4 linked regions of the Saccharomyces cerevisiae S288C genome follow. The main gene of each other region encodes a partner of the protein of the gene in region 2 in a complex. Each region holds a gene or a part of one and is shown on either strand. Other genes may lie near its edges. A codon is read from its position in the direction of its gene.

The links.
Region 1: the proteins of RXT2 (region 2) and RPD3 are in contact, whole or in part, in a cryo-EM structure (PDB 8GA8), measured with the Saccharomyces cerevisiae proteins. Residues at the interface, in NP_009653.2 of Saccharomyces cerevisiae: Ser61 (codon at 1,613), Ser62 (codon at 1,610), Arg64 (codon at 1,604), Arg77 (codon at 1,565), Arg78 (codon at 1,562), Asp79 (codon at 1,559), Leu80 (codon at 1,556), Asn81 (codon at 1,553), Asn82 (codon at 1,550), Ser83 (codon at 1,547), Met86 (codon at 1,538), Ile189 (codon at 1,229); in NP_014069.1 of Saccharomyces cerevisiae: Gly37 (codon at 2,676), Pro39 (codon at 2,670), Asp109 (codon at 2,460), His151 (codon at 2,334), Gly159 (codon at 2,310), Phe160 (codon at 2,307), His188 (codon at 2,223), Glu213 (codon at 2,148), Phe214 (codon at 2,145), Phe215 (codon at 2,142), Gly217 (codon at 2,136), Arg280 (codon at 1,947), Leu281 (codon at 1,944), Tyr340 (codon at 1,767).
Region 3: the proteins of RXT2 (region 2) and DEP1 are in contact, whole or in part, in a cryo-EM structure (PDB 8HPO), measured with the Saccharomyces cerevisiae proteins. Residues at the interface, in NP_009653.2 of Saccharomyces cerevisiae: Asn40 (codon at 1,676), Tyr41 (codon at 1,673), Glu88 (codon at 1,532), Val91 (codon at 1,523), Phe92 (codon at 1,520), Tyr93 (codon at 1,517), Asn94 (codon at 1,514), Glu97 (codon at 1,505), His98 (codon at 1,502), Arg99 (codon at 1,499), Leu100 (codon at 1,496), Leu101 (codon at 1,493), Gln102 (codon at 1,490), Thr103 (codon at 1,487), Asn104 (codon at 1,484), Ser157 (codon at 1,325), Val160 (codon at 1,316), Val162 (codon at 1,310), Lys163 (codon at 1,307), Leu166 (codon at 1,298), Thr167 (codon at 1,295), Pro168 (codon at 1,292), Ile169 (codon at 1,289), Leu215 (codon at 1,151), Leu219 (codon at 1,139), Asp221 (codon at 1,133), His222 (codon at 1,130), Ile226 (codon at 1,118), Tyr227 (codon at 1,115), Glu228 (codon at 1,112); in NP_009389.3 of Saccharomyces cerevisiae: Tyr242 (codon at 4,423), Gln243 (codon at 4,426), Gln245 (codon at 4,432), Lys246 (codon at 4,435), Leu249 (codon at 4,444), Ser250 (codon at 4,447), Asn253 (codon at 4,456), Thr256 (codon at 4,465), Ile257 (codon at 4,468), Arg260 (codon at 4,477), Thr261 (codon at 4,480), His264 (codon at 4,489), Gln265 (codon at 4,492), His268 (codon at 4,501), Thr272 (codon at 4,513), Arg275 (codon at 4,522), Leu279 (codon at 4,534), Asn280 (codon at 4,537), Thr283 (codon at 4,546), Gln284 (codon at 4,549), Trp286 (codon at 4,555), Tyr287 (codon at 4,558), Asp288 (codon at 4,561), Cys341 (codon at 4,720), Glu342 (codon at 4,723), Ser343 (codon at 4,726), Ile344 (codon at 4,729), Arg362 (codon at 4,783), Leu365 (codon at 4,792), Ile369 (codon at 4,804).
Region 4: the proteins of RXT2 (region 2) and PHO23 are in contact, whole or in part, in a cryo-EM structure (PDB 8HPO), measured with the Saccharomyces cerevisiae proteins. Residues at the interface, in NP_009653.2 of Saccharomyces cerevisiae: Pro168 (codon at 1,292), Ile169 (codon at 1,289), Leu170 (codon at 1,286), Ser171 (codon at 1,283), Leu172 (codon at 1,280), Ile175 (codon at 1,271), Ile181 (codon at 1,253), Thr184 (codon at 1,244), Phe185 (codon at 1,241), Ile189 (codon at 1,229), Leu190 (codon at 1,226), Leu193 (codon at 1,217), Gln196 (codon at 1,208), Met200 (codon at 1,196), Lys203 (codon at 1,187), Ser207 (codon at 1,175), Arg210 (codon at 1,166), Tyr211 (codon at 1,163), Gln213 (codon at 1,157), Phe214 (codon at 1,154), Val217 (codon at 1,145), Phe218 (codon at 1,142), Glu224 (codon at 1,124), Asn298 (codon at 902), Ala299 (codon at 899), Ser302 (codon at 890), Leu303 (codon at 887), Gln323 (codon at 827), Glu327 (codon at 815), Ile328 (codon at 812); in NP_014302.3 of Saccharomyces cerevisiae: Leu7 (codon at 2,670), Phe8 (codon at 2,667), Leu11 (codon at 2,658), Asn12 (codon at 2,655), Ile14 (codon at 2,649), Thr15 (codon at 2,646), Leu18 (codon at 2,637), Glu19 (codon at 2,634), Phe21 (codon at 2,628), Pro22 (codon at 2,625), Thr25 (codon at 2,616), Leu29 (codon at 2,604), Leu32 (codon at 2,595), His33 (codon at 2,592), Asp36 (codon at 2,583), Met43 (codon at 2,562), Leu46 (codon at 2,553), Asn47 (codon at 2,550), Ile50 (codon at 2,541), Asp51 (codon at 2,538), Phe53 (codon at 2,532), Leu54 (codon at 2,529), Lys55 (codon at 2,526), Lys56 (codon at 2,523), Gln63 (codon at 2,502), Gln65 (codon at 2,496), Val66 (codon at 2,493), Leu69 (codon at 2,484), Asn70 (codon at 2,481), Ile72 (codon at 2,475).

What each region holds. Positions count from the first base shown.
Region 1 is NC_001146.8:16,519-22,089, forward strand, and holds RPD3 (histone deacetylase RPD3), read right to left. Parts: upstream 2,785-5,571; coding exon 1,483-2,784; downstream 1-1,482. Other genes in the region: AAD14 (putative aryl-alcohol dehydrogenase), read right to left, coding at 1-730; PEX6 (AAA family ATPase peroxin 6), read right to left, coding at 3,023-5,571. UniProt on the Saccharomyces cerevisiae protein: Catalytic component of the RPD3 histone deacetylase (HDAC) complexes RPD3C(L) and RPD3C(S) responsible for the deacetylation of lysine residues on the N-terminal part of the core histones (H2A, H2B, H3 and H4).
Region 2 is NC_001134.8:433,906-437,477, forward strand, and holds RXT2 (Rxt2p), read right to left. Parts: upstream 1,794-3,572; coding exon 501-1,793; downstream 1-500. Other genes in the region: PBY1 (putative tubulin tyrosine ligase), read left to right, coding at 1-392; YBR096W (uncharacterized protein), read left to right, coding at 2,116-2,808; ubiquitin-binding serine/threonine protein kinase VPS15, read left to right, coding at 3,046-3,572. UniProt on the Saccharomyces cerevisiae protein: Component of the RPD3C(L) histone deacetylase complex (HDAC) responsible for the deacetylation of lysine residues on the N-terminal part of the core histones (H2A, H2B, H3 and H4).
Region 3 is NC_001133.9:125,571-130,987, forward strand, and holds DEP1 (Rpd3L histone deacetylase complex subunit DEP1), read left to right. Parts: upstream 1-3,699; coding exon 3,700-4,917; downstream 4,918-5,417. Other genes in the region: protein phosphatase 2A structural subunit TPD3, read left to right, coding at 1-1,216; bifunctional N-glycosylase/AP lyase NTG1, read right to left, coding at 1,333-2,532; SYN8 (syntaxin), read right to left, coding at 2,682-3,449; cystathionine gamma-lyase CYS3, read left to right, coding at 5,229-5,417. UniProt on the Saccharomyces cerevisiae protein: Component of the RPD3C(L) histone deacetylase complex (HDAC) responsible for the deacetylation of lysine residues on the N-terminal part of the core histones (H2A, H2B, H3 and H4).
Region 4 is NC_001146.8:439,671-444,999, forward strand, and holds PHO23 (Pho23p), read right to left. Parts: upstream 2,689-5,329; coding exon 1,696-2,688; downstream 1-1,695. Other genes in the region: Ras family GTPase RAS2, read right to left, coding at 1-900; PLS1 (Pls1p), read right to left, coding at 1,127-1,249; 40S ribosomal protein eS7 RPS7B, read right to left, coding at 3,728-4,156, 4,502-4,645; YNL095C (uncharacterized protein), read right to left, coding at 5,242-5,329. UniProt on the Saccharomyces cerevisiae protein: Component of the RPD3C(L) histone deacetylase complex (HDAC) responsible for the deacetylation of lysine residues on the N-terminal part of the core histones (H2A, H2B, H3 and H4).

The sequences.
Region 1 (5,571 bases), on a different chromosome or scaffold from region 2:
GAAATCTTCCACCTCCCATGACATCCCATGGGGCTAGAGCCATACCAAAATGCCTAGCCATTGGAATAATATCACGCTCAAAGTCCCTGTTCAATACATTCCATTTACCTTGATAGACGCTAAAAGGAGTTTTACCATGAGATGTAGCGTAGTAATTTGCCGCAGAAACAACCCAAGCAGGTGTATCAGATACTCCTAAATATAGGACCTTGCCCTGCTGAACTAAAATATGCAAACTATCCATAACTTCTTCGATTGAACTCATATAATCCCACCAGTGAATGTAAAGTATATCAATCCAATCAGTTTGCAATTTGCGGAGAGAATCCCTCACACTCACATGTAAACTACGCTTGTGATTACCACAGTAGTTGGCACTTTTACCACCACCTACTTCATACTTCTTATAATCTCCGGTAAACTTGGTGGCAATTACAATCTGGTCACGCAGTTTTCTTGATGCCATCCATTCACCTATCCAAATCTCTGACTCTTCATTTTGGTAACTGTTTGCAGTATCAATACAATTACCTCCAGCTTCATAAAAAGCATCAAGAAGTTCAAAGGCCTGTTCCTTATTCATAGAGCCCATAAAGCCTGACCATGCGTCGCCGATTGAAGCTCCTCCCAGAATTAGCGGTGAAACCCTTATGCCGGCAGTTTTAGAAAGAACCCTGAGACGTCCCAATTCGGTAGGTGGTTCAGGTAGAGGTTTAAACAAGTCAGTCATGCTGAATAGTGGTTTTTTATGCAATAGACAATATGTTAAGTAAAATACAAAGCCGTTCAGCTAATTGGTTAGCTAGTTAATGAAGAGAAGAACAGCATGCATCCTTGACTTGGAAATATTGTCATACTTAAATATGGTTGGAAATTTTGCCCCCCGGTTTCCTTGAATACGAACAATGCAACTTATTTGAGTCTTCGTACGAGATCTGCTTACTGGTTTTGTACAGCGCTGAAAGCGAATTTGAAAATATATGCAATTAGAAGAGAGTGAATCAGATGAGGATAGGGTTAATACTGTAAAATTATTACCAAATATTGAATGACATATAAAAGTCGTAGTAACCGAATTTGTTTTTTATTATGAATAAAGACTTCTTGTTTTCGCATACTTCGATGATTTAAGAAATTAAAAGTCATTTACCCAGGCGTGATTATAAATTATATTGGCACCGCTTTATCAACAGCGGTGGGACGAGACGTTTAGATAGTAATTACAATAGAAATACAACTGTTTCAATATTAAAATATCTCTAGTATGTAAATAACACATATAGGCAATTTTCTTCGAAACGTATGGGACGCGGTTGATGTATGAACGGAACGCATCAATTAAAGGTTTGAGAAAAGTCTTTTGCAAAAAAATTGAGTTTGCACTTCTCATACACAATTGGATAGCGTCTTAAGTGCCTTTTATTCACTTTTCTTCTTTTGTTTCACATTATTTATATTCGTATATACTTCCAACTCTTTTTTTCAATAGAATTCATTGTCATGCTCAACATGTAGGTCCCTCGCATATTGCGAACCACCCTTCGTATCTTTAGCCTCGGCAGAATCTTCTTCAACATCACCCAAATCTTCGGCATCCCTAGGTGTGTGATTCAACTGAACACTAGGGGCATACTTTGTGTTTTCCAAATTAGCAAATATATTGGTCATTACCTTGTCAAGATATTCGGGAGTATTTACATTGAACATATTCGAAGGTCTAACACTTAACTTATAATCTGGACCGTAATATTCGTAATATTCATTGTACGGTAAATCTTTATCCAAGACAACGTTATTTAGTAGACCTGTTTCAAAGCACCATGTCCTTGCAACATTTCTCATAGTATAGCCTCCTCCACCAACAACCATCATTGGGATCCCAAAGGATTTCACATAGTTTACACAATTAGCATGGCCTTCCATGGAAAGATTAAAGCAACCAAGACGATCGCCGGACAAGGAGTCCCCACCACACTGTAACACGACAGCAGAAGGTTGATACCATTCCATAATTTTTTTTATCACAGGTTCAAACACAGATCTATACGTAGCATCGTCAATACCGTCTCTTAATGGCACATTGACCGCGTAGTTTTTTCCTGCACCCACCCCTATATCTCTCAGTTCACCTGTGCCAGGGAAAAACTCACCATATTTGTGGAAAGAACATGTCATGACACGATCCGTTGTATAAAACGCTTCCTCTACACCATCACCATGGTGCACATCAATATCAATATACAGAACTCTGGGGTGGTATCGTAGTAGCTCAATAATGCCCAGTACTATGTCATTTAAATAACAAAACCCAGAAGCTTCCGATTTTTTTGCATGATGCAAACCACCCGCATAGTTGACAGCAACATCACATTTGCCTCTATTCAGACGAGCAGCTCCTTCCATAGAGCCACCACCAGATATGCTACAGTACTCATAGAGCCCATCAAAGACAGGACAATCATCTCCGACATTAAACTTGACACTTTCTCTTTTAAACATTTCTAAATTATCTGGAGTAACCCTCGATAAAAAATCAATGTATTCATCAGTATGGAACTGACACATTTCTTGTTTCGTTGCCGGCTTAGCTCTGTAAATTTCCATCTTCTTGTACAAGCCATAATTCATAATAAGGGAATGTGCCATTCTTATTCTATGCGGCTTCATCGGGTGACCTGCTCCATATGCATAGTTCCCAACGTCTGCATCGTAAAAATATGCAACGCGTCTTTTATCGCTTGGCTTGACCGTGATCGGATCAAAAGGTGTTGCTTCATATACCATCTGCACGGATATCGAGTTGTAGCCACGAATGTTTTGTATGGCGCAATTGTTTTATGAACCTTTATGGTTATTACTTCAAATTTTTATTATGTATAATCAACTACTAGTATCTTTTCTGTTTTTCCCTTTCGATAGATACTATGAGCCGGGGAGGGTAAGTAAATAAAAAGATAAATTTCAAGGCAAAATATGGGACATATATTTACAAATTTACCTATACGCTCTGAGTTGATATTACTTAAGCACCTTCAAAATTAGCTCTCACCGCTTCATAATGATTCAGTTCAGCCCGCGACACACTTGGGGTGAGCTGCTCTTGTGCTTTCAAGAAGTCTTCCATTTTTACGACAACCTTAGTATCCTCTTTTGTCGCAATCTTATCAAACCAGCGACGTGTAGAAATATTCTCTCCCGTCAATTCGTTATGCTGAGAAACTTTTTTTTCTACCATGCGTGCAATTCTTGACATGGCGTTAAGCATTGCATCTGAGCAGAGAGCATAAAAATCTGCCCCGGTGTAATTAAATGGACATAGCTTTGCCAACTCAATAAGCTTTACGTCGTTGTCGAGCACGAATTTGCGAGTCAGAGCCTCTAAAATATTCAATTGTTTGGTATCCGTATCCGGAATGCCTAAATATAACAATTTATCGAATCGTCCTGGTCTTAGTAGTGCTTCGTCCAATAAGTCTGGTCTGTTTGTTGCTCCGATAACAAATACACCGTCAGCGTCGGTACTCATACCATCTAACTCTGCTAGTAACTGTGAAACGATACGATCCATAACACCACCCGAATCACCTTGATTACCACGTTTGGGTGCTACTGAATCGATTTCATCGAAAAATATGACACAAGGTTTAGCCTCTCTCGCCTTTTGAAACACTCTGCGCACATTAGCTTCACTCTCACCAATGTACATATTCAACAGTTCAGGGCCTTTAACACTAAAAAAATTTAAAGAAAAATTTGTTGCAATGGCCTTAGCCATTAGAGTTTTACCTGTACCCGGTGGACCATAAAAAAGAATACCGCTTCTCTTTTTCATACCTGAGGTAAATAATTCAGGATGTTTTAGCGGCATGTCTATTGTGTCCAATATTTCACCTTTAACAAAATCAATACCACCTATATCATCCCAAGTTACGTTAGGGATTTGTGGGGCACCAATCGAAACCGAGAATTCGTTCCTAGCTTTCGAAGTAGCTTTTGATAAATCCTCCTGAGTGATCAAAATTGATTGCGGAAGCCATCCACACTTCTTTGATTCTTGGTAAAAACGCGCAGTAGCCGTCATTCGTGCCGTTTCCACAATTGATTTGATGTCTAAAGGAGTTAAACCAGCAGAATATGAAGAGAGTGATGAAAATGAAATATTATCCATGTAAGATACTGGAACCTTTTGTTGAACATCTCTGTTTAGTTCATGTGAAGATAAGTACCACTGAAAGATACGCAGTCTCTGTGCTTCAGACGGAACGGGTACGAGAATCTCAAATCTCATATGTGATCTAAAGCTGGAAGGCACGTTATCTATGTTATTTACGGAGCCAACAAATGTAGTTCCTGGGAATTTAAACGTAAAATCGTCCAGAAGTTTAGACATTTCGAAGTTTATAGATTTTTGTAATTTGATTGCCTCTGGATCTTGATTAGCGTTTACGTCAAGCAAAATTGAATCCAAATGAGCCAAAAAAATCACAGCAGGTGATGCGTACGGTAGGACATTTTCACATTTAGCCCTAATGTAACCAATAATCTTAGATGTTGAATCCAGTTGTCTTGAATTTGAAGTGAGCGAAAGGCAATCTATCTCCAGTAGATGTATACCAAGATATTTTGAAGCAAATCTCACCATTGTAGCCTTGCCCACATTGTTTGTAGTGGAATGAAGTAACACAGAGGCATTTAGGGTGATTCCCCTTTGAGAACAATTGAAGGAAGTTTCTAATATGTTAACCAATTGTCTTACATAGGGGAAGATATGCAAATCATAGTAAAAAGTTTCAGCAAAACCGTAATATCTCTGAAGATTGGATCTACTCAAGGGTAATGGTCTTCTGTTAGTGATATTAGTTGTTATTAGCTTCGTCCGATTGGGATCAATAATAAAATGAGAATTATCTTTAGAGAAGCAATCGAGCTCTGCGCTTGTGACAAAGAACCATACAAGGGAATCGTTCTTGTAGTACTGCCCTAGCTCATCTTCGTCATCAGACTCATCATTTTCCTCTGCTATATTGAGATCAGCCATACTTGAATCAAAAGCGATTGGGATTAAATCATTTTGACAAAGAATCCTTTTGCTCTCGCTAAAAAACTTTTTCAAGGTTGTTAGAATAATATTTTGAAAGCATTTCTGAGATTGAAGCCAGCCTCCAACTCTTGAGATGAAAACTTGATTAGCAATGGGAATATCTGTATGGCCTATATTGGACTTTGATATTGTCACGACGCTGCAGTCTGGAAAGCTTGCTATTATTTTGGGAGGTGCGTATATTGTTCTTTTTTTAAAGCCGTTGGGGAGTAGTAAAACAAACAGCTTAACTAGCCTGACGCAACCCATATTTGACACTGTTATAAACGATCCACTTGTGACATCCAGGCGCAGTAGAGTTTCAGCGTCTGTAAAGGCATATATTGAATTATCATCATTGATGTGAGGTGCAGGTCGCAAAAGATCTCTTGAAATTGTGCAGGGGAGAGATTCAAGATCAATTGATAAAGCAGAATTTGTCCCTATTTTAGGTAATGCATATTCTTCATCTTCGTTAGCATATTTTAGAG
Region 2 (3,572 bases):
ATTCTTCTGTTTTGGAGTTTGACTCCATAGAGGAAATTCCAAATGAGAGAAAGTCCAATATTAAGGAGCAAATCCATAGCATAACGAACGACGTTTTCTTAGCTGCTGTAAATGTAAATAGATTAAACTTCCAACCGTTACCAAACGCATTTGAAACATATGGCGTAGACTTTTTGATTGATTCGAATTACGAAGTTAAATTACTAGAGATCAACGCTTTCCCAGACTTCAAACAAACTGGGAAAGATTTGAAGAACCTCATTGATGAATTATTTGATGACACTGTCAAATACTGTGTTACCCCCATCTTTAACGAGAATAGAAATAAGACAGATGATGAAACAGACCCGAACTTCGTAAAAGTCATTGATTACACTTCAAACGGTTGGTGAAACAAAAAAAAAAAAAGAACCCATCCTAAAATACTGTTATTATTACTAAATAGTGCTAAATAATACATATGCCTTGATTTTATTTCCGAAATTTTTTGTTTTGTCAATTTAGGCTCTATTAGCTTCTTCATCAGGTTCATTATCGTCTACAACACCGTCTTCCATGGTATTTTCAATTTCTTCCTCAAAATTTGTTGTCTTATTTGTTGTAGCACTGATCAGACCTCTCTTCACAACACGTAGAGCCACCGGGATAGTAATATCATCGTCAGATATACCCAAATATTCCCGACTCCAATTTAAAATCCTACCTCTTATTCTATTGGCTTTTATTACAGACTTTCTGATTTTTTGTAAGTTTCTTATGAATTCTTTATTCCTCTGTAGTGCAATCTGCGACAGCTGTCGGGCAGACTCAATTTCCTCATTTAACTGTTGTTGTTCGGCCGCTGTTAATGTTGATATAGAAGCAGAACCGGAAGAAGATGGCAGCAACGATAACAGCGCATTAGATTGTTCCAACCTTGGCAATGCAAAAAAAGGATCTTCCTCTCCAAATTCTTCCATGCCATTATTGATATGACCAGCTTCAGTAGACAAACTATTCGAGTTAACCTCGTTGATATTGTTTTTGTTGTTAATGTCATCCTCGTCGCTTGCCCCTCTATCCTCTGGAAGGGTCAAATTGTGATTATAAGATGGTAGGTTCAAGTTAGATTCATAAATTGGTTCAGGATGATCTCCTAAAAAAACCTCCAAAAACTGGGAATATCTAACAACTGACATCTGTTCTTTTTCAATCATTAGAATTATTTGCAAGGCTAAATTTTTCAAAATTGGGCTTGAAAATGTCCTTGAGATAGTTTTATGATTTATTATATCCCCTAGGGAAAGAATGGGAGTCAAAATCTCCTTTACATTCACTAGTTTTGATAGGTCGTCATCGTCTTCTTCGCCGTAATACTCATCAGTGATATTTTCGTCTTCCTTCTCACTACCATCGATGTCGTTTTCATCACCGACTAAAACAGGCTCGACGTTGATGTCAGGTGTGAATTTTATTCTTTTGCGTCTACTATCAGTGACAATATTTGTTTGCAGAAGGCGATGCTCCGAACCGTTATAGAACACAGTTTGCTCAATCATTGGCTTAGAATTGTTCAAGTCTCTTCTTGTTACTACTTCGCTTCTCTGCAAAAGTTTGTTACCTCTGTTAGAGGATATGCCAGTGGCCTCAGGATAGATTAGTTTTCCATCAAGGGATCTTTTCAGTACCTGATAGTTACCGCTTTTTTCCTTTATTATCCTTCTAGTAAATGTGCTAATTATATTCGATTCATTAGCTAACACACTCTTGCTTTCCAATTCTGCGTTGTTTTTCATACTGCTCCTAATAGTCATCTCGATCAACAAGAAGCAACAGCTGAGATATTTGTTTCTCAACCTCTTTTTTGCAGGAGATGCTGTCATCAAGCAACGTTTCTTCTATTTGAAAGCGATTGTTTTACCAGAACAAAGTTCGCTACCCGGCTTCGGTCCTCTTGGGTATAGGAGACAATAATGATCTTCGAATAACGCCGTTATAAAGTGAACATTATAATTATCCGCTTAAAGGCTTTTTAGTAATTTTGTAAAACAATTGCTTCTAATTTCAAGACTTCCAAAAGGTTTCTCGAGTAACTAGTGCTTTCCAATATCTACAACAAAATAAAATAATAGAATAATGGGTGTTTGCACTATTTTTAGGTGGCTCTTTGCTGCTTACTTGCTCTCTTCATATAAGTCGCTTCCTGGGGCATATTTTGTTAGGTTTTATTATTATGTTATTCAAAACTTGTTCTTGCCTATGTTTACAGGGTTTGAAACCGAGAATATTAAGAAACTTGAGAAAAATGAATATGGCTGTTTCTCGTACACCAGCCTAGATACCTATGCCTCTCCATTCGAATGTGACTTCTACTTTCATAAGAGCAATAGCACCTATTTTGCGGAATTGGACATTTCAAGAGGTAATCTCATGTGCAAGATTTTTCAAAAATTGATGCTGAATTCCAAGCATTATCCATATATTCCAGTTGCGAACGTTTTCACTAATTTCTTGAAGGAAATCAAGCCTTTTCAAAAGTACTCGGTTTCATCAAGGATTATCTGTTGGGATGAGAAATGGATTTACGTCATGAGTAGATTCACAATTAAAAAGGGCACCGTCTTATGCTCATTATCATTGACCAAATACGTCCTTAAGGACGGTAGAAAGACCATCAAACCAAAGGATGCTCTTGAATACTGTGGTTTATATAATGAGAAGGTCGCCAAAATTTCTGAGGACAATCTAAAGCTTTTAACCGAGCGTTGTGGTTTCCACGAGACAGTACCATTGGAAAACTTGAGCCAAGAGTACTGTTCAGAAATCTAACTTCTATACACATATAGCCGGTATTATAAAATATATAAATCTATCTTCTTTCAAAAGTTTCTCTGTGCAGTCTGCGTTATATTTTATCTTCGGTAGAAAACAAGGTAAATTTCCCTTATTTTTCAACATCATAAAAATGAAAAACAGATATATCTTAAGTAAGATACTTAAGCAGACAAGTTGAATTGGAGAAATACAAAAGCTGTAAGGTTATCAAAAAGGAAGGCATACAGTATAATGGGGGCACAATTATCACTAGTGGTCCAAGCATCACCTTCCATAGCCATTTTTTCATATATCGATGTCTTAGAGGAAGTACACTACGTTTCACAGTTAAACTCATCAAGATTCTTAAAAACATGCAAGGCACTGGACCCTAACGGCGAAATTGTTATCAAAGTGTTTATTAAACCAAAAGACCAATATAGCTTACGACCTTTTCTCCAACGTATAAGGGCTCAATCGTTTAAGTTGGGACAACTACCGCACGTTTTAAACTACAGTAAATTGATCGAGACAAATAGAGCCGGCTACATGATACGGCAGCACTTAAAAAATAATTTATATGACAGATTGAGTTTGAGACCTTACTTACAAGACATTGAACTGAAATTCATTGCTTTCCAGTTGTTAAATGCATTAAAGGACATTCATAATCTGAATATTGTCCATGGTGATATAAAGACAGAAAATATCCTAGTAACAAGTTGGAATTGGTGTATATTGACAGATTTTGCTGCATTTATCAAACCCGTATATTTGCC
Region 3 (5,417 bases), on a different chromosome or scaffold from region 2:
TACAGACGAAGATTGGGATTACATTTCTAACATTTTCCAGAAAATCATTAACGATAATCAAGATTCTGTCAAGTTTCTGGCAGTTGATTGTTTAATTTCCATCTTGAAATTTTTTAACGCTAAAGGTGATGAGTCTCACACTCAAGATTTATTGAACTCTGCTGTCAAATTAATTGGTGACGAAGCGTGGAGGGTACGTTACATGGCTGCCGATAGATTTTCAGATTTAGCCTCGCAATTCAGTTCCAACCAAGCATATATCGATGAATTAGTACAACCATTTTTGAACCTTTGTGAGGACAACGAGGGAGATGTTAGGGAAGCTGTGGCTAAACAAGTTTCTGGGTTTGCCAAGTTCCTAAATGATCCTTCAATTATATTGAATAAGATCTTACCTGCTGTGCAGAATTTGAGTATGGACGAAAGTGAAACAGTGAGATCTGCTTTGGCTTCTAAGATTACAAATATTGTATTACTGTTGAATAAAGATCAAGTCATTAACAATTTTCTTCCGATTTTACTGAATATGCTAAGAGATGAGTTCCCTGACGTTCGTTTAAATATCATTGCCAGCTTGAAGGTTGTCAATGACGTAATAGGAATTGAGCTGCTATCAGACTCTTTGTTACCTGCCATAACAGAATTAGCCAAGGACGTGAATTGGAGAGTTAGAATGGCTATAATTGAGTACATACCTATCTTGGCAGAACAATTAGGTATGCAATTTTTTGACCAACAGTTAAGCGATTTATGTCTTTCATGGTTGTGGGATACTGTTTATTCTATCAGAGAAGCCGCAGTGAATAATTTAAAAAGGTTAACGGAAATATTTGGCTCTGATTGGTGTCGTGATGAAATTATTTCAAGACTGCTCAAATTTGATCTACAATTACTGGAAAATTTTGTCTCGAGGTTCACAATACTCTCTGCTCTAACCACTTTGGTGCCCGTGGTATCGTTAGATGTCGTTACTGAGCAACTATTACCATTCATTTCTCACTTGGCTGATGACGGTGTTCCAAATATTAGGTTTAATGTGGCCAAATCCTACGCTGTGATAGTGAAGGTTTTAATTAAGGACGAGGCCAAATATGATGCATTAATTAAGAACACAATTTTACCCTCATTGCAAACGCTGTGTCAAGACGAAGATGTTGATGTAAAATACTTCGCTAAGAAAAGTTTGGCAGAATGTCAAGAACTTTTAAAAAATTGATACTAGTTCAAATATATACATACATACACATATGTACACTTGAATGAATAAAAAGTATACATATTAACAACTAGGCCTGCTTTCTTTTCTTTTCTTTTTTTTTTTTTTTACCACACTTAGTCCTCTACTTTAACAGAAATATCATTTTCCAGTTTGACCATAGTTTCTTCAACTGTTTTCTCCTCGTGTTTAACATTGATTTCCGCCTCCACGTTCAGTTCACGTTTTCCTTCCAGGTATTTCACCCACTTTGGATAACTCATGATATTTTGCTGGATTTCCTTGTACAATTGAGACTGCAAATCCCAATCTAAGGAGCTTCTGGGATCATCCGGTGGCAAGAATTGTAACATGTCACCAAGGTTCCTCGATTTAGTGATTATTTGTCCAAATCCAACCAGCAACCCATTTATTTCTGTCCAAAGCCCCTTAGGCAGCCAATTTTGTAATTGAGTTCTTGTCTGATCTGGAGTCTTGCATTTCTGCGCATCTACCCATTTCCAAAGCTTGGTCAATCTATCCACGTGAACGTCAACGCAGATACCTTCAATCTTGCCCCATGCCTTTTGTAATGTTAGATAAGCCATTTTGGGCCCTACACCGGGCAGGCCCAATAGCTCATTAATCGTAGCTGGAACATCACTCGAAAACTGATCTTGAAGGATTTTGCAGGTTGACAAAATATACTTGGCCTTCCTTGTGTGGAACCCAACTGAATGAATCAATTCGTCTAATTTGGTCTCATTGATTTGTAAAACGGCCTCTAATGTCATACCTTCTTCGCTGTGCAGTTCGTCTATACAATACCGCATTATGTTAAGCATTGCCATTGCGGTAACTTCATCTTTTGTTTGCGATGATAGCATCACCCCAAGAAGGACCTGTAATCTGTAGTCCCTCGGTGATATCTGCTCTTTCGAGATACCACACTTAGAGGCAACCGTTACAGGAATGGATGATCCACCAATTATATCGACGGGGGCTAGAATCTTAGATCTCAGTACTCGCATTCTAGCGTATGTTTCTTGAAACTTGTAAGGGACTTTCGTCGAGGCCGGAGTGACAAGGATCGAGGGGTCCAATGGTGTGGCCCACCTGTTGGGCACATTGCCGTTTCTAACCACAATCCATTCGAAGTACTGCTTATTTGGCAGCGATTTAACCCAGTCGATATCCACGGGTTGAGGGACAACCTCTTCTTGTTTGATTTTGGTCCTTTTCTCCGGTAGGAGTTCTGATTCTGGCCCAGTTTCAGTCTTTACCAGCGGTCTTTTCCTCAGAATTGCCATAGATGAGTATTTACTGATCTTTTGCATATTTTTTTTTTTTTTGGGCTATAAAGTATATATAGATACAAATATATGATGAATCATTAAAGAGGAGGTTATTACTAAGTGAAAGAAAAAGAAAAAAAAAAAGATCAAAACCAAACTTCGTATTCGAGCCTAAAAAACAGAATATAATGTTATAATACTAATAGAAGCAACAGGAGCACCACTATCAGCACAAGAATAATCACGCAGTTGCCGTTATCCTTGAACCTAGAATTGTTAAAGCCATGCATGGACCGAGAGGCCCTGTTCAAATTCCTACCATTATTATCAATCAGGTTTTCTAAATCAACCAGCAGCGAGTCGTTCTGAGAAACGATCTCATTATTAAGGTCCAGCGAAATGTCATGAGTCCTCCCAATAGACTGAGACAGTGCGCCCAAGTGGGAATCTTGCTCTAACAACTGCTGTTGCTGGTTAATAAATAGTTCTTGGTTGGAAACCATGGGTTGTGGTGGCTGTGGCTGTGACTGTGACTGTAACTGCGATTGCAATGGTTCATCCTTGTATGGAGTATGCGTCGAAGGCAGCGGCGACTCCTCGTCTTGTTCATCGTCATCCTTATACATGACCGTAAGCTCGTCATCATTCTTGAACCGCACTTTTTTCAAAGACTCTTTGGACACCTCATCAGTATTTCTTGCCACCTGCTGTTGGAACCTATACAACTCCTTGTCAACCGCCGTATCAGGAATTTTGTCCAGTATGGTATTGTATCGGGATATTAGTTCATCATTGGGCGCACACTTCTGCAATAACTCCAATATTGAGCCCAATTGCCGTTTCAAAGTAACGTTATCGTTTGAGGTCGGGGCGAGCTTCAACACCGACACTAGCCTTGTTCTTTCTTCGACCAGATCAGAGAGCTGGTCCAGTTCATAACCCAGCTTCAACACATCCATACCGTGTGTGCTTACGCATCTATTTGCTGTCGTGAGATCTGTCTCTATGCTTTATTCGTTTTCCATTGTAAAGTCTCAGCATTTATTTCTTGTTCTTTACTTGTTTTTGCCCTTTCGGGTGATCAAAGTCGTGCTGGGAAATTTTATTCTTATAAAATGATTTTTAGAAATAATAAACTCATAACAGTGCAACGGCAAAGTACAAGGGAAGGAAGCACAGAAGCAAGAGGAGGCGCATCGATCGTGGCAGATGAGTCAGCAAACACCACAGGAAAGTGAACAGACCACAGCGAAAGAACAGGACCTTGATCAAGAGAGCGTGTTGAGCAACATTGACTTCAATACGGATTTGAATCACAATTTGAATTTATCGGAATACTGTATATCCAGTGACGCAGGAACAGAGAAGATGGATAGCGACGAGGAGAAGTCGTTGGCCAATCTGCCGGAGTTGAAATACGCTCCCAAGCTATCCAGCCTGGTGAAGCAAGAGACGCTCACCGAGAGCTTGAAAAGACCACACGAAGATGAGAAAGAGGCGATAGATGAGGCCAAGAAGATGAAAGTGCCGGGAGAGAACGAGGACGAAAGCAAGGAAGAGGAAAAGAGTCAAGAACTGGAAGAGGCAATTGACAGCAAGGAGAAGAGCACCGACGCCAGGGACGAGCAAGGGGACGAAGGTGATAATGAGGAGGAAAACAACGAGGAGGATAATGAAAACGAAAACGAGCATACAGCACCGCCTGCGCTGGTGATGCCCTCCCCCATCGAAATGGAGGAACAGAGGATGACTGCGCTGAAGGAAATCACCGACATCGAGTACAAGTTCGCGCAATTGCGCCAAAAACTATATGACAATCAATTGGTGCGGTTGCAAACGGAGCTGCAGATGTGTCTGGAAGGGTCACACCCGGAATTGCAGGTCTACTACTCGAAGATTGCCGCGATCCGTGACTACAAGCTACACCGAGCGTACCAGCGACAGAAGTACGAGCTTTCATGCATCAACACAGAAACAATCGCTACCAGGACATTCATTCACCAGGACTTCCACAAGAAGGTCACCGACCTGCGAGCCAGGCTGCTGAACAGAACCACGCAGACCTGGTACGATATCAACAAGGAGCGCCGCGATATGGATATAGTCATCCCAGATGTCAATTACCACGTCCCCATCAAACTTGATAACAAGACGCTGAGCTGTATCACGGGCTACGCCAGCGCAGCACAGCTGTGCTATCCCGGCGAGCCCGTGGCAGAGGACCTCGCTTGCGAAAGCATCGAGTACCGCTACAGAGCCAACCCGGTGGACAAACTCGAAGTCATTGTGGACCGAATGAGGCTCAATAACGAGATTAGCGACCTCGAAGGCCTGCGCAAATATTTCCACTCCTTCCCGGGTGCTCCTGAGTTGAACCCGCTTAGAGACTCCGAAATCAACGACGACTTCCACCAGTGGGCCCAGTGACCGCCACACTGGACCCCATACCACTTCTTTTTGTTATTCTTAAATATGTTGTAACGCTATGTAATTCCACCCTTCATTACTAATAATTAGCCATTCACGTGATCTCAGCCAGTTGTGGCGCCACACTTTTTTTTCCATAAAAATCCTCGAGGAAAAGAAAAGAAAAAAATATTTCAGTTATTTAAAGCATAAGATGCCAGGTAGATGGAACTTGTGCCGTGCCAGATTGAATTTTGAAAGTACAATTGAGGCCTATACACATAGACATTTGCACCTTATACATATACACACAAGACAAAACCAAAAAAAATATGACTCTACAAGAATCTGATAAATTTGCTACCAAGGCCATTCATGCCGGTGAACATGTGGACGTTCACGGTTCCGTGATCGAACCCATTTCTTTGTCCACCACTTTCAAACAATCTTCTCCAGCTAACCCTATCGGTACTTACGAATACTCCAGATCTCAAAATCCTAACAGAGAGAACTTGGAAAGA
Region 4 (5,329 bases), on a different chromosome or scaffold from region 2:
TTGCTGCTTCCTAGCCTGTTTAGCATTTGAAACTTGACCGGCCTTACTATTATTATTTACACGATTATTAACCGTATTAGCGCTTTGAGCGTTGGCCTGACCAGCTTGGCCCGTGGAATTGTCTATATTGGTGCGATCAGTTTGTGTCTTACCATTTGTCGCCTGGTTGCCTGCCAACCCTGTCTTACTCTCTATGCTTGCATTCCTGGCATTCACGACAGTTGTGCTACTGTTCACATTTTTACCGTTGGCAGCATTGCTCATCTTCCTGTGGCCACCGCTATTTCTAGGCACAGAGTTGGCACCGCTCCCTTTTGTATCTTGAGAAGTTTGCTTGGAGTTGTCATTTTCCGTCAAAGTCTTGTTGTACTTGCCGCCTTCGTCTCTAACTAAACGTGCTAGAGTGTAAAACGCCTCTTCCACGTTGATTGCTTGCTTAGCAGATGTCTCCAAGAAAGGAGCGTTCATTTGCTTTGCCATGTTCAACCCGTCCTGGTAAGAGACCTGTTTTTCGTTTTCTAAATCAGATTTGTTACCAACAACCACAATTGGAACATAGTCGGTATCTTTGACTCTCAATATCTGTTGATAGTAAGTCATAAGCTCATCAAGAGACGACTTGGACGTTATAGAGTAAACCAATAGGAATCCTTCGCCGTTGCGCATGTATTGTTCCCTCATAGCAGAGTATTCTTCCTGCCCTGCAGTATCCAAAATGTCCAATATAGACACTTCATCATCAATCACCACTTGCTTCCTGTATGAATCCTCAATTGTGGGATCGTATTCATCTACAAAGTGCGATTGGGTCAATTGTATGGTCAAAGCAGATTTACCAACACCACCACCACCAACGACGACTAGCTTGTACTCTCTTATGTTCGACTTGTTCAAAGGCATTTTTTTTTCTGTATATCTCCTTTCAATTCGAAAACGGTTAACTTGGTTTTTTTATCCGTAATTCTCTCGTATCTTTCTGCTCAAGTAATTTTCTCCTAGTTGATTAATATAGTGCAGAAGAGTCAGATAAAGAGTGGATGAATAAAATGGAAAAAAAACAAAAGCCGGATTGCGTTACGCTTGAAATGAGCGATTCTAGGCGATAAGAGAAGACAACGGCTAAAACTTAAGATGTTGGGGTACTATAAATGTTTACCCAGATTTTCGGTAGAAATGTTTGCTGATGTGAACCTTGTTTCCCGTTTTCCCAGATCCCCTTATTCCAGCTTTGTTTCGTCTTTGCTGTCATGTTCCGTTTAATTTCTGAAGGCCTGCCTAGCTTCACCGTCCTAAATGTCACGCTCCAGGCAGAGACATGGCGCAGGGGCGAGGCCAGGGGCAAAGGGGTCAGGCAGGAACCTCCAAGGGGGGCGAGGTGAATGAAAAGGTCCTTCTGAATAAAAAGCCTAAGCGATTAGCCACACCACCCACTGTACGGCGATTAGACTGAGCTGCTGGCGCTGCTACGCCGTGACAAGTCATTTCATCATTTATTACGTTTTATCGTGCCGTCATCACCATCGATTTGAATATTTTATCTAGACCGGTAGGGCCCAAGTATCTTGCAGATCCATTGATACGGCCACGCCCGTTAAAACGCTAAGATATATATATATGTAGCTAAGATATATATATATGTATATATTCGGTATTTAGTAGATATTTCCTTAAGGCGATATTCGCCCGAGAGCTATTTCACAGTTTTTTTTTGCAGTCGTCGCAATACCACTTGCCCTTAGGTAGAGTTTCGAGTCCAATACATGGCAAATGGAACCATTCTAGCTCACAGTCTGCGCCATCACACCCCACCATTTCCCCGTATGCCACTTGGTTACAGTAGCAGTAGAGCGGTTCGCCGTAGTCGTTGGTTTTTGGTCTTGATATCCTGCTGTTGTTGCTGTTTCCGACGCTGCTAACTCCCCTGGACGCTGTAGATGTACCTATCCTGCCATTATTGACGGCAGTTGCCGTGCTGATAGTGCTTGGTGAAACGGCTGTGGTGGCAACTCTCCTCTTGCGTTTTTTGGTCTCTGGATCGGCGTTGTTGGTATTGGCAGCGTTGGCTCTTTTTCTTGAGTTTGTGTTGTTACCAGTGTGGTCTTGGCTCTCGTGCCTGCTGCCTCCGTAGTTTGCGTCGTTCTTTGAGTCGTCTTGTTGGTGTGTGCTGGCGGAGTAATGTTCGCCCTGCCTCCTGTTGGCAGCCATGGCTTCTCTTCTTGATTCGCTCTTCAGTGCCTGCGACGATTTGCTGTTTGATTTGCTCTCTATTTTTTCCATTAGTTCATGATGGAGGTGCATTGCTGGATGGTTGTCCACACCCAGTCTTAAACCTCTAGGAATTTCTGTGTTCTTGATTGCGACTTCATACGCCAATTCTAACCGGGACGTCAATCTGTCTAGATTATCCAGCATAATGGATGAGACATGCATTTTCTCCTCCAGCGATGGCATCAGTTCTTCATAAATCTTGTTGATATTATTGAGCAGTCTTACTTGTGTTTGGTGATCTTTATTGAAGTCTTTCTTCAAGAACTTATCTATCCTCTCGTTCAAATTCGGCATAGAATGCACACATTTTGCATCTATTTCGTGTAGTAATGTTAAATATCTGGAGGTGGCCAGTGGGAATTCCTCCAGCACGTCAGTTATGTCGTTTAATCCAGGGAATAGGTTCGCTGGTGAACTCATTTGTACGTATTTCAGACTATGAACGTGGTTGCTGTTTGTGATACTGCAAGACTACAAACTTTTCTCCTTCCGGGTTCGTCCTGTTGTAAACGCCTAACTCTTTTCCTTAGGCTCCTTTTTCGTTTTTTCCCTAGCTCTTTCTTTCTTCTTCATGTGCATGCACTCTTTCCTACATATTTTTTTTTCAAGGGCATTTTTAACTTTCTTCGGAAATCGTCTAAGAATTGTAAACTATAATTGCAAATACGCGATTAGCTCTATCTAGAATACCGAAAAAAAGGTTTGCCACTCACAATTGGACGTGCCTCAATTATTTCAAGTATACGTCATTTGGGCTTTTGACTTGTAAAATATACTCAAATGAAATTCTGATTATACAAAGTTGAAACACGTAACACGCCATGTCAAGGTACGCGTAGAGGTAAGCAGATAATGCATGGACAATGTGCTGGGCGAAGAGGCGGATCTAATTACACATACTTGGGATCATCTAAGATTTCAGATGGTTATGTTAATGCTCACTTGTTCCACGCCTTTTTCCTTTCCTTCAGATAAGTAATCCGCATATCAATGTGAAAGAACTAACGGTTGTTGATGGACGTATCGTTGTCTAGCGATAAATAATGCTTTTTCTTCAACAAATAAGTGGTTGTTTGGCCGAGCGGTCTAAGGCGCCTGATTCAAGAAATATCTTGACCGCAGTTAACTGTGGGAATACTCAGGTATCGTAAGATGCAAGAGTTCGAATCTCTTAGCAACCATTATTTTTTTTCCTTTTTATCTGATTGCAGCGAGAACTTGGGAAATCAACCCAATATGTATTCCAAAATGTCAAAACACCAATTAAAGCATCTCTATATTGACAGATACAAAATATATTTAAGTATACATTCATAATTATTTTACTCGAATTAAAAAAGCCCACTTTTTGGAAACCTCCTTTTGTATTCTCATAACTATGTTTCTTTTTTTATTATTTTTTCTTAATATTATTTTCTTTAAGTATGACAAATGATGAGAATGATAGTTATCTCACTATTTAGTTGGTCTGGCTTGGAATTTCAAAAACAATTTGTTTGCCAGTCAACTTGTTGTAGACAGCTTGGAAAGATTCCAACTTGTAGTCGATTTGTTGAACATCCTTGGAGTCTAACAAAACCTTTTGGATCTTGTTACCACCAACCAAATATCTAACTCTTTTACCGACAATTTCAGTTGGGAAAACCATGTCTTCCAAAACCTTGTCGTGAACAGCAGTCAAAGTTCTGGATCTTGGTCTCTTTTGGACTTGTCTAGATGTTCTAGATGGTTTTGGCAAGATTCTTCTTTCAGCCAAGAAAATAACATGACGGTCAGGGAATTTCTTTTCCAATTCACGGGTCAATTTGGTTTGGACCTTATGGTATGCAGACAAAGCTGGAACTGGGACAAAAAGGACTAGTGCTTTCTTACCACCGGTGACATCAATCTAAACAATAAGAATCAAGCAGCGTTGAAATAAAGTTAGTAACTGAATTGGTTCATTCATAACAAAAAAGGGTTTGTGATTCTTCTCCTTGGGGTAAGGTCTTTTTCGCGTGCTTCTATTTTATTCATCGATATTGGTACTGACCAAGGAGGCCTTTATAGTTCAAAGGCTCATCGCAACGTTCATGGTATTGACAGCTCTCGGAATTACTATTTTTCTCGAACACATGAAAATTTCATACAGATACTGCTCAAAATCACTCTTTTTTGAAAAAATTACTGCAAAGAACCCCTTTAGAAGAAATCACAATGTTGCTGCTTCCAAATTATATAACTTTTAACATACTTCTCTGATAGATTTGATTTGCAATGGTCTCAAGTCAGCCTTTAGTTCTGGAGAGGAGCTTTCTAGATCGATGAAGGTCTTGGCGACTTGTAATTCCAACTCACTTGGAGCTTGGGATAAGATCTTGGATTGGACAGAGGACATTGGTCAGTTATGTGTCTAGTCTTTAGTGTGTTGGTTTCTCTTCTGTTTGTATATACAAAGTCAAATAACACATATTTTAACCATAATCAATAGCATTTGGTATTTCCCCCTCCGCGTATTATGAACGCCTAGTGAGCCCATTCTTCCCTAAAGCCAGGCTGGAAACCCAAACTGTGTGGAACGTGACTGAATTGCATTTGGTGAGTTACCAAGCAAAGGCTCGCAGGCTTGAACCACATTTTACCAGGGCGCTCGCTTTTTCCGAAATATTGAAATTAAGCAAAACAATAATGTACGGATTTAAAGAGGTACGGATGGAGACCGTAGAAAATTGACTTTTTTTTTTTTTTTGTTATTTTCTGTGCCTTTCGTAACTACTACTATGCAGAATGACAGGTAGTTGTTGTTTCGAATTGCTACTTTCACGCATTCAACTTGATCAACATTTCTCTCTGATGAAAGGTTGTGGAAAGTTTGGTCGTGTCTATAAGTAGGTGTTTTTTATTAGTTCTATATAAAAATGGAGAATGTTAATTTTAACCCACCCTAAAACAGTGATTAGGAGTGGTAATAATTTTTTGTTTAATGGATTAAAACTAAAGGTTCATCTGTACTTTCAGAAAGTAAGACACTAAAAATGGCAAGCTAACAACCATTAGCGGGTATTGCAGCATTAAGAAAAAT